Drosophila melanogaster: one gene and its partner. The gene in region 1 interacts genetically with each later gene. Each region holds a gene or a part of one and is shown in the gene's direction. Other genes may lie near its edges.

Region 1 (4,769 bases):
GAATTCCGAAAATAAGATAATTATATATTAATAATATTAAGATCTCTGAAAAATTTGTATGATTACAACATAATTTTGTCACTTTTGAGTGAGCTATAGTTTTTAATCGCTGAACCACTGTGCGAATTTTTCAAGTTCATTATAAACAAAACGTAAATATTATTAAATTGTGTACAAACAGCGCGTTGCACGTGTCGCTGTGCCTTCTAGTGTGTGTGTATGTGTGTGTGTGCGTAGGGGCGCGTGTTTGTGTCTGTGTGTGTGAGTGGGCGAGTGTATTGAACTCTTGCTGCATTTTTTGCACAATTTCGCCGCCTTTTTTTCTGCTTTTGCTTGCGTTGTATTATTGTGCTCATTTATTTTTATTTTTACCTCTGTTGTTACAATTGTTTTGCATTATTTTTCTTTGAGTGGAGAATCGATCGAATGCATCGATTTTTGGATGAGATGCTGAAGGGTTGCTGGTCACCTAATTTACATACATACATATGTACATTCTTTCGGCAGCTGACACTATTTAAAATTGACCTCTCGACGGTACCTAAACACCTATGAGTATCGAAGAGCATGGAAAAAGAGCCTTTATATTTGGAGAACGCTATCCCCAAAGAATCGCAGAACTACGGGCAGCTACATGACATTTCTTTCGGTGCATTAATGTTAATTTCAATGCTGCTTGATTGCTGTATGACGCACCCTGAAAAGGTGAAAGGTGAAAAGAGGGACCGAAAAGAGACTCGATCGTCTCCGACTTCCGTTCTGGGCACAGCTAGAGGTTAAGGTTGAGAAACTGGCCAGGAAGTATCCGCTCGGGGGTTAATGGATACGGATACACGGATGGGGATGTTCACAGCTATGGATGAGCACATATGTATGTACATACATACATACATACATACATACATACATATGTATGGGCATATGTACACGAAGATCTGGATGTGCTCATCGCTAGATGAAGTGCGACAGAAAGGGCAACAAACATGGCCAGCGTGGCCAATGGCAACGGGATTTGCCCAAAAATCCAAAATGCATCCAGACATATGCATATGTGTATGTGGGTGCTACATACAGTGATCACTCGTATAGAAGGCAGAAAAAGTTGACAATTGGAGATTTGGTAGTCTGGCACATTTCTATCCTACATCCGTTGATTTTGTTTCATTTTTTAACAAGATTTCAGACTCATTTCCCGAAGTATTTATTTTGCCGATATTAATACTTTTTTCTAGTTATTGAAAAAAATGGTGACTTTGGTTTAAAGTCCTAGGTCAAACTGAAGTATTCCATAAATATTAAAAGAAGGAAATACTACACAAATAATGCATCTTCGATTAGATATACTTCTTCTACGCTCAGATCTAGTATCGTGCATCCCATTTCCAGTTGTCAAGTGTCCACTGTAATTTCCAATTCCAATGAAAGATGAGTACGGCCCTCTCGCTCTTCCACACACACACACACGCACCCAATGTGTAATCCTATTTGCGCCAAATAAAGAAAAAGAAGAAGACAAATTTGAAACGAAGAATGAGAAGGAAAGAAAATCCAAGCTGCGCTGCCTCCGTTGAAAAAAAAATGAGAAAAACCAGACTGCTTCTCTCTTCTCTCTTTTCTCTTTTCATTTCAAATTTTACGCTCTCGCTCTCGCGGACAGCGACGCCGCCGGCGGCAGCGCAGCGCAGCCGTTGTATTTATAAATACAACTTTATAAATACAACATCAGTCGATTTTCATCTGCCGAATCGGTTGCGCTGCGGCTGCGCTGAGAATAAGATACAAAACTCGTGCGCGGCGCTTCAAGAAACCAACTCAAAAGCAGACAAATCAAATAACTAACTTGTAGAAAATAAAAATATAATAAAACATAAACAGAATTTCTCAATTCTAAGCCTACAAAGAAATATCAAACGCAAACTGCATATTTTTTTCACGTTTTTTTTTTAAACGACAAACCATTGGGAATTTTTGGAATACTAAGCTTTAAGGCCAAAGAAGTGTGAAAAATATTAAGTGAACCAAAAAATAAGTGCTATCTGAATTAAGTTATCTGACAAGAATTAAAAAAAAAACCTACACACTAAACATAAAACACAAAACACCAAAAAGCCACCAAAAATCATTTTTCAACGGGAACCAAGCCTAAAACAGTGCGAAATCCGGAGTTGGAATGCCGTCGCAACTGTTGAACACAATTTCACAACTAAATATCCACTAAGGTAATTTTTTAACAGTGATTGTTTTGGATTTTTTTTTATGTTGTTTCTGTGATTTGTGCGTGAACAATTTGTTGTTGCTTTGGATAAATAATCGAGCGCAGAAAACATGGATTATCAAAAGGATGAAATTGGAAAAGTTATTGGGTCTTCAGCTAAGCTAACATTTTTGTGTTAAATTGTTAAGAACAAAAATTGTTGAATTTAAAATTAGCACAACCGTTTTAAAATAAAATTTAAAAGCTTAGTTTTCAAACACATTTGAAATGCAATTTTTAAATGCAATTGAAGTGCAGCAGTGTTTTAAAATCGACTTAGATATTAGAAATATTATTTAAAAAAGATGAAGTAATGAAAATATATATGCCAGTTTAATTCTTCCGTAAATCGTTAAAATAATTTAATGATCCAAATTCATTATATTCCGATTAAATCAAAAGGAAAATGTTTATATAAAATTATTTTCCTACGATCACAATGTTTGAAAACATTTCAATTCAAGTCCATTCCCAAAACCCCTCCCTTGGTGTTTTGGGTCAAGTTCTGCCTGCAATTAGCCGGGTCAAAAAATTACCCATGACCGATGCTAAAACCCTTGAACTTTGACACACCACGCACACACAGACAGTCCAGTCCGAAAAGCCAGAAATTTCCGTGGTCAGGGATGATGAGGCGACGTTTATAGGGTTTAATTCAGATTGATGATCTGTTTAATATCGCAGGGGTTGTGCTCCATGTCAAACGGTTCACTTCACTCGGCTTGATTCCGTTAGATGGCGATTAGAAATTTGTTTTTTCACTGACCAAGTTGTGTTCATTGATAATTCCCAAGGGTCATAAAGGTGTGAAAACCGCCCAACAATTCCCCGCCCCAAAAAGTATATATTCGGGAGGGAATCTTTATCTCAATGACTTTTCATGACTCATGGACAACGAAATTGAAATCAGCCAACCAAAATGAAAGGCCAAACCGAAAGCCAATGGACAACAAACAACTAACACACATTTACCGAAAAAATTATATGTGTATATGACTGGATGTATGCATGTGTGTATGTATATATAGCGAACAGTGGGCTCGTTATCGGTAGAAATTTTTGATCAGCCTCTGAGGTTTCAGAGTTTCTTTATTTTTGTTGCCTTTCGGGGGGAAGTTAGGATTTTCAAATCGATCCACTACCACCCAAAGAAACAACAACAACGACAACAACTGGGACACCGCTCATAGTCATAGCCTTGATAACGGTAAATGCTAATGAGTGTACCCACATTTTTCACCCACACACCGAAATTCTTGATAAGAGCAGCATTGCCAGATGTGTATTGAATTCAATTCTTCGCACCTTTCTGCGGATGCACTTGCAACAGTCGCCAATTCTTCTTATTCGCTCTTCACAGGAACTCGATTTCAAATAGCTTTTCCGCTTCTGTTTTTTCATCTTTCCGTTGCATTGTTTACTTGCCTGAATCAGCTGTTTACGTTACTCAAGATTTAGTTTAGTATTACGCGACAATCGAAGACTGGAGAATGCAGGGTGCCCCACTATCGATTTTCTGTTATTAATTGAACCCTACACCCAGTTTACAGAATGGAACGCTGTCAGTGTGGATATCATTTGTTTACGCGTGATTTCTTTCCATCTTCAGACTTTCATAAAGCTAGTAATTACATTTTTGAATCAGCGAGTGTTGCAAAACTTTGGTGGGGTTGGACAAAAAGTAATAAAAATACTTGCGATTATAAGTGTTTAGTATATTTGATACACTTCTTTTGTCTTCGAGTTATCTAATTAGTGTCAACACTTGTTCAAGTGCTTCGATTTTTCGATAGAGTTCTTATTACACGTGCTTTATCTATACCCATCTCTAAAAGTCCTTTCTTCTTTTTCTCTCGAATCTTCTAAATCAGCACAGTTAACTAGCCGTTGGAAAAATGCTCGCCGCACAGCAACAGCACAACAACAGCACAGTGGAATCGGAAATGGAGCGCCAGCGACGGGACTCCACCACATCGGAGTCCTCGCTGGAGCATCTGGATCTGGGACGTACGCCCAAAAAACTGGGCGGTAACAGTGGCTCTACACAGACCACATCCACGCCACATGAGCTGGCTACGGTGACATCTTCGCGCAAGCGCAAAATTCGCCATTTGCAATTGAATCACCATCAGCAGCAGCAGCATCACCAGCAGTCGGATCTGCTGAGTGATGAAGACGTGGCGGAGGCGGAGGCGGAGGAGGATGAGGACGAGGAGGATGGCGACCAGGTGGCCGCCTTGGGCTCAAGGAATCTGGGACGGCACAAGCAGCGTCGCAGTGGTGGCGCCACCACACAGGCATCCATTGTGATGGACTACAGCAGTGGCGATGCCAGTTCGCTGCGCAAGAAATTTCGTCTGAATCGCTCGGCGGCCAGTCTCTCGGAATCGGGATTCGTGGACGCCAGCAGCACCACTGGCCACAGTGGCTATCTGGGTAACAGTAGCAGCGCTACGAACACTACTGCGACCAGTGGTATTGGTGCTAGCGCAGTGGCTCCATCTCCAGTCGGCGG
Region 2 (4,561 bases), on another chromosome or scaffold:
ACATTGAGCCACTGAAGCGGATGCTTGCCAAGATCAGTAACGACGGAACCAGTAAGTAGATAATACCCTCACGTTTCGTTTTTTTCGCAGCTATTGCATTTTTAAATCGTTTGCTGATTACTGAAATGCTGTAAATGCTATAAACCGCGTCAAATAATATAATTTAAGAATTATATAATCGTTTTTGCGAGGCCAAATGCAAGGACTAACTAACCAAAAACAAAAGTTTAATGCAAACTTACTCGGGTTTATATATTTCCTAGTAGTTATATTCTCGAAGTATATGTTATCGTAAAACTAATATTATATCTTCTTTAATAGATGTGGAGAAGATGACAAAGATGAGCAAGTTGTTGGAGATTCTCTGCAATCCTACACAGCGCGTGCCGCTGGAGACTCTACTTAAGTGTGAAAAAGCGCTTGAGAAGATGGATCTCATCTCCTATTCCGGCCAGCAGTTTGGTGTAAGTATATCTACATCCAACGGGCCAATTTATTATATTCTTCGTTATACCTAGAAATCCTCAAATCCATTGCTGGAGGTTATAAATACAACGCTGCAAAGTCCTGTAGCAAATCACACATTGTATCGCACATTCCGACCCACTTTGGAGCTGCTCTTTGGTACGGATATAACAGCTCCAGTGCCCGCAAAGCGACCTCGGGTGGAAGAAAAGTCCACGTCTTTTGAGCAGGAAGTGCCACATGTGCTTCAAGGGGAAATTGCTAGGCTCGATACCAAGTTTAAAGTGAAATTGGACACCACGTCACAGATCAACAACAAGGCCATTCGCTTGATTTGTTGCCTGGATGACAAAAGGTTGCCTAGTGTTCCGCCCGTAAGTGTGAGTGTGCCGGAGGAATATCCGTGGCAGGCTCCGGACTGCTCCTTGGCGGAACAGGAGTATTCAGCCACCCCCTTCCTGCAGACGGTGCAACAAGCTCTCATTGCCCGCATCTCGAAGTTGCCCAAGAACTACTCGCTCTCACATTTGTTGGACACCTGGGAGATGGCCGTGCGACAGGCGTGTTCCCCGCAATCGAAACCCAGAGCAGTCTGTGAACTTTCCACTTTGCTGGGAGTTTAGCCCAACTATTTGGTTAAATTCAACTATAACATTAAATCTTAAGCTAAAAGTGCGTACGCTGCAAAAAAATTACTATTTATTTTAAAATCTTTCTAATTTCTGTTTTGTTCTAGATATATTTTTATATTTGTTGGAAGTTTTACCTAACTATCCGGCCTAATCAACTATAAACATTTTTTCTATTTACGCTGGGCAAAAAGTGTGGAAAGTTTAGTAAGTTTATATCTTGTTTAATTTTAAATCAATGGATATTGAAAATTTTAATTTCATTTTAGATTCCCAAAATGCCCCTCTGTTTTGGGTAAATACATTTTAACATATAAGACAAATGGCTTTTATAGCTAAAATAAAATAAAACCAATTATTTCAAAGAATATTGAGCTGCACCGCATTGAAACATCCTTCTATATACACAACACACTCATCCACTCATCAAGCAAAAAACATTCCACACTCAAGACTTAGTTCAATACCAAAATGGGGCTACATACTTTGCAAATTGTTTCAGTCGGATGAGATTTTTAAAAAGGTAAGCATAAACAATTTGGAATAGGGCTTGTCATTCTAAAAAAAAATTAAGTCACCGCAATAGACTTCTGCCCAATTACGCTTCCCTCCCAATTCATAGAATAACTTTAGTTTTCTTTGGAAAATATGTATATTTTCATTTGTTGAGATTGGAATCGTGCGATGATCCATTATTCTATTTGTTTTCATTTTCTTTTTTTCACATTTAGCAATAAATACAATTGTGTGTGTTTTAGCTTAAGAGAATTACACTGACAACTATGGTACAATAGAAAAGAGTTAAGAAAACTTAAATATCACAGATGTTGGACGCCGAATGCGTCTCTTTATAGTATGTACAAACACTAGGGATATTCAGAATATTAATCTGAAGAAGATCGCTTAGATAAGAAGTGTGCTGTGTGCTCCTGGAAAGAAGTGGCATCTATCCGATTTGGGTATTACGTATTGAATTTGAAGTTGATATATGCACAAAACGGTGACAAGATCTAGCTCCTAACTAAGCTTAAGTCTACACCAGCTACATGAGAGCGAGAAGGCATTTCGAATTTGACTCAGATGTTAATTTGTTTTGAAATTTGGTGGGAATTCATCTCTGTTTAGCTGGCGATACTGTGGGGCTGAGATTGGTTCTGATGCTGCTCGCATTGCTCTTCTCATCGCTGCACTTGAAGCAGGGTTCCGCCGAAGGTGAAACTGCTGGCCTGCTGCTGTAGCCTCAGCAGATCTTGGGCGCTGTAGACTTGCAAGCTGGCGGAACTGATGGGCGAGGAACTAGCGCTGGAGCCCGCCGGTGCTATCGCTCGCAAATGGAGCGAGGCATCGCAGAGGGAAGCCGCTACCGAAGCTGATGTGTTGTTGTTGGCCAGGGAGACATGTCGATTCACTCCGTTCGCCTTGTCCTTGTTGTGCCGTTTGACGTGCTTCGACAGGTGATCGCTTCTCATGAATTTCTTCTGGCAGACGCTGCACTGGAATTTCTTTTCACCGGTGTGGGTCCGTTTGTGTCGGGACAACTCATCGGAACGGGAGAATCGTTTGTCACAGTTCTCCCACTTGCAGATAAAGGGTCGCTCGCCGGTGTGAACCCTCTGGTGGGCCTTCAGATGACTGCTTTTGAAGTAATTCTTGCCGCAATCGGGAAAACTGCACTCGTAGATGCGACTTCTGGTGGCCGCCGCCTGGGCGGCCGTAATTCTGGTTGTTAGTTTCTCCTCGGACATTGTTGGCGTTTTGGGTACGGGTGTGGGGCTCTGTTGGGCGGCCACTGTGCTGAGCAGGATAAGTTGGCTGGCAGACGAAGCTACTGGGCTAACATATATCGGTGTCAGAATAGGTTTTATTTCCTCCTCCTTGATGCATTCCGCTGGAGCAGGTGGCGTTACAAGCTTCGCAACTGGTGTCTCGGGTGTTTGTACTGGGGGTAGTGCCACTTCTGCAGCACGCTTTCTGTTCATTTTGAACTTGAGATTGCGCCACACATTGGCCTCTGGATAGTCGTCCTCCACAGTGGGTGGTACTGAACTTGTACTTGTGTTTGTGTTGGAAGAGGAACTACAGCAGGAGGTGGAACTAGATGAGTTCTCGTCTTGGCTACTAGAAGAGACAGCGCCAGAACTGTTGACCCGCATGATGACGCTAACCCTTTCCGCTTTCTGATCATCGTCCAGCTTTTGATCCGGCGGCGGTGTCATGCTCATAGCAGGTTGTTCCAAACGGGGTTTCTTGTTGGGAACCGCTATTTCGGGAGCCTCGTCTTCCGTGTCCGATGGATTTGGTGTAATAATCCCTCCATTTTTCTGACTCTTTTGGGCCACCAGCTTGAGCTTTGCCTTTAGCAGATTCTCGTTCACCTGTTGTTCGTCCTTGGCGACCTGGAAAAGGAAAGAACAAGTTCAGGGTTAGTCAGAGTTCGTTAACATTGTCGAGTTTATGTTCTGAGGAGTGCATTCACATTCACAGTCCCATTCACTTTTCGCTGACCAGCATTGACCCACAATAACTTTTCCTCGCAATTCGCTAATTACGCCGGCGGCTGACAAGGCCGTTCACCGTTAACCTTCACACACCCTGCAATACCCCGCCCAACCCCAGGTTCAATGCTCCTTCGAAAGGCCAAGGGAACTTTGTTTTTGGCGGTTTTTGAACTCTTTTAAAGGCCGTTTGGGGTGACAGAATATTACTCATTAACTGTTGCTGCCAGCTGTGCTTTAAATTATAGACGTATGTAAATGTTAAAGGTGAATACTGTATTGATGACCACATAAAAGTCTTTAAATTGATGTGCTCCTGACAGAAACAAAAAATGTCTTAAAATTTTAAAAACTGTTCTTAATATGGACTTTTCAAATTTCACTACTTAATTTTTAAGGATGAAAACATGAGCAACTGTTGCGTTTTCGGCGCATATTCTAGAACCATTTAAAAATTGCGCCTAAAAGCATGCAAGGAAAATGCAGCCACACCACCAGTATTATTATGACGTGCCTCAGGTGGGTGATTTCATGGGGAAGGCGAATGCGAGGGGTGTATTATGACTCGTGCGAAGACGTCGAAATCTTTTTATGGGCTCGGCACGTTGCGCTCTAATGTGCGACAGTGTTTGTTTGTTTCTTTCTTGGCCAGATAAAAAACGAGCCAGAAATGTGACATGGTTTTATGGGTTGGGGCTTGGCCTGTTTGCCTAGCTTTTGGCTAGGCCCTCTCTTTCCTCTCACACTCCACCGCTCGCCTACAGTTGCCAATTGGCAACTCACCTTCTCTCTTTTGCTTTTCTGTTGTTTTTTCCTAGTGGTGCCAAGTCCAATGTTCAGCTGCGGCCTCTCGCTCGCACTCACACATCACTCGCTGTGCATGCGGTGTTCACGTGAAAGCGTGTTGGCTGCGTGATCGCATGGCTGTGTGCGAGTGCGAGCGGGACGAGGCACTTTGTTTTTAGAAACGCG

Evidence for each region.
Region 2: of peb (region 1) and ush, changing one enhances a phenotype caused by changing the other (phenotypic enhancement), as found in Drosophila melanogaster (one study listed by BioGRID).

Annotation. Positions count from the first base shown.
Region 1 is NC_004354.4:4,615,845-4,620,613, forward strand, and holds the start of peb (pebbled), read left to right. Parts: upstream 1-1,719; 5' UTR 1,720-2,219; intron 2,220-4,125; exon of another isoform or gene 4,126-4,130; 5' UTR 4,131-4,149; coding exon 4,150-4,769.
Region 2 is NT_033779.5:474,715-479,275, forward strand, and holds the start of ush (u-shaped), read left to right. Parts: upstream 1-1,505; 5' UTR 1,506-1,617; intron 1,618-1,731; exon of another isoform or gene 1,732-2,272; coding exon of another isoform or gene 2,273-3,490; exon of another isoform or gene 3,491-4,561. Other genes in the region: MED15 (mediator complex subunit 15), read left to right, coding at 1-51, 322-464, 519-1,088; cbt (cabut), read right to left, coding at 2,273-3,490. UniProt on the Drosophila melanogaster protein: Transcription regulator that modulates expression mediated by transcription factors of the GATA family such as pnr and srp. Represses transcription of proneural achaete-scute complex (AS-C), which is usually activated by pnr.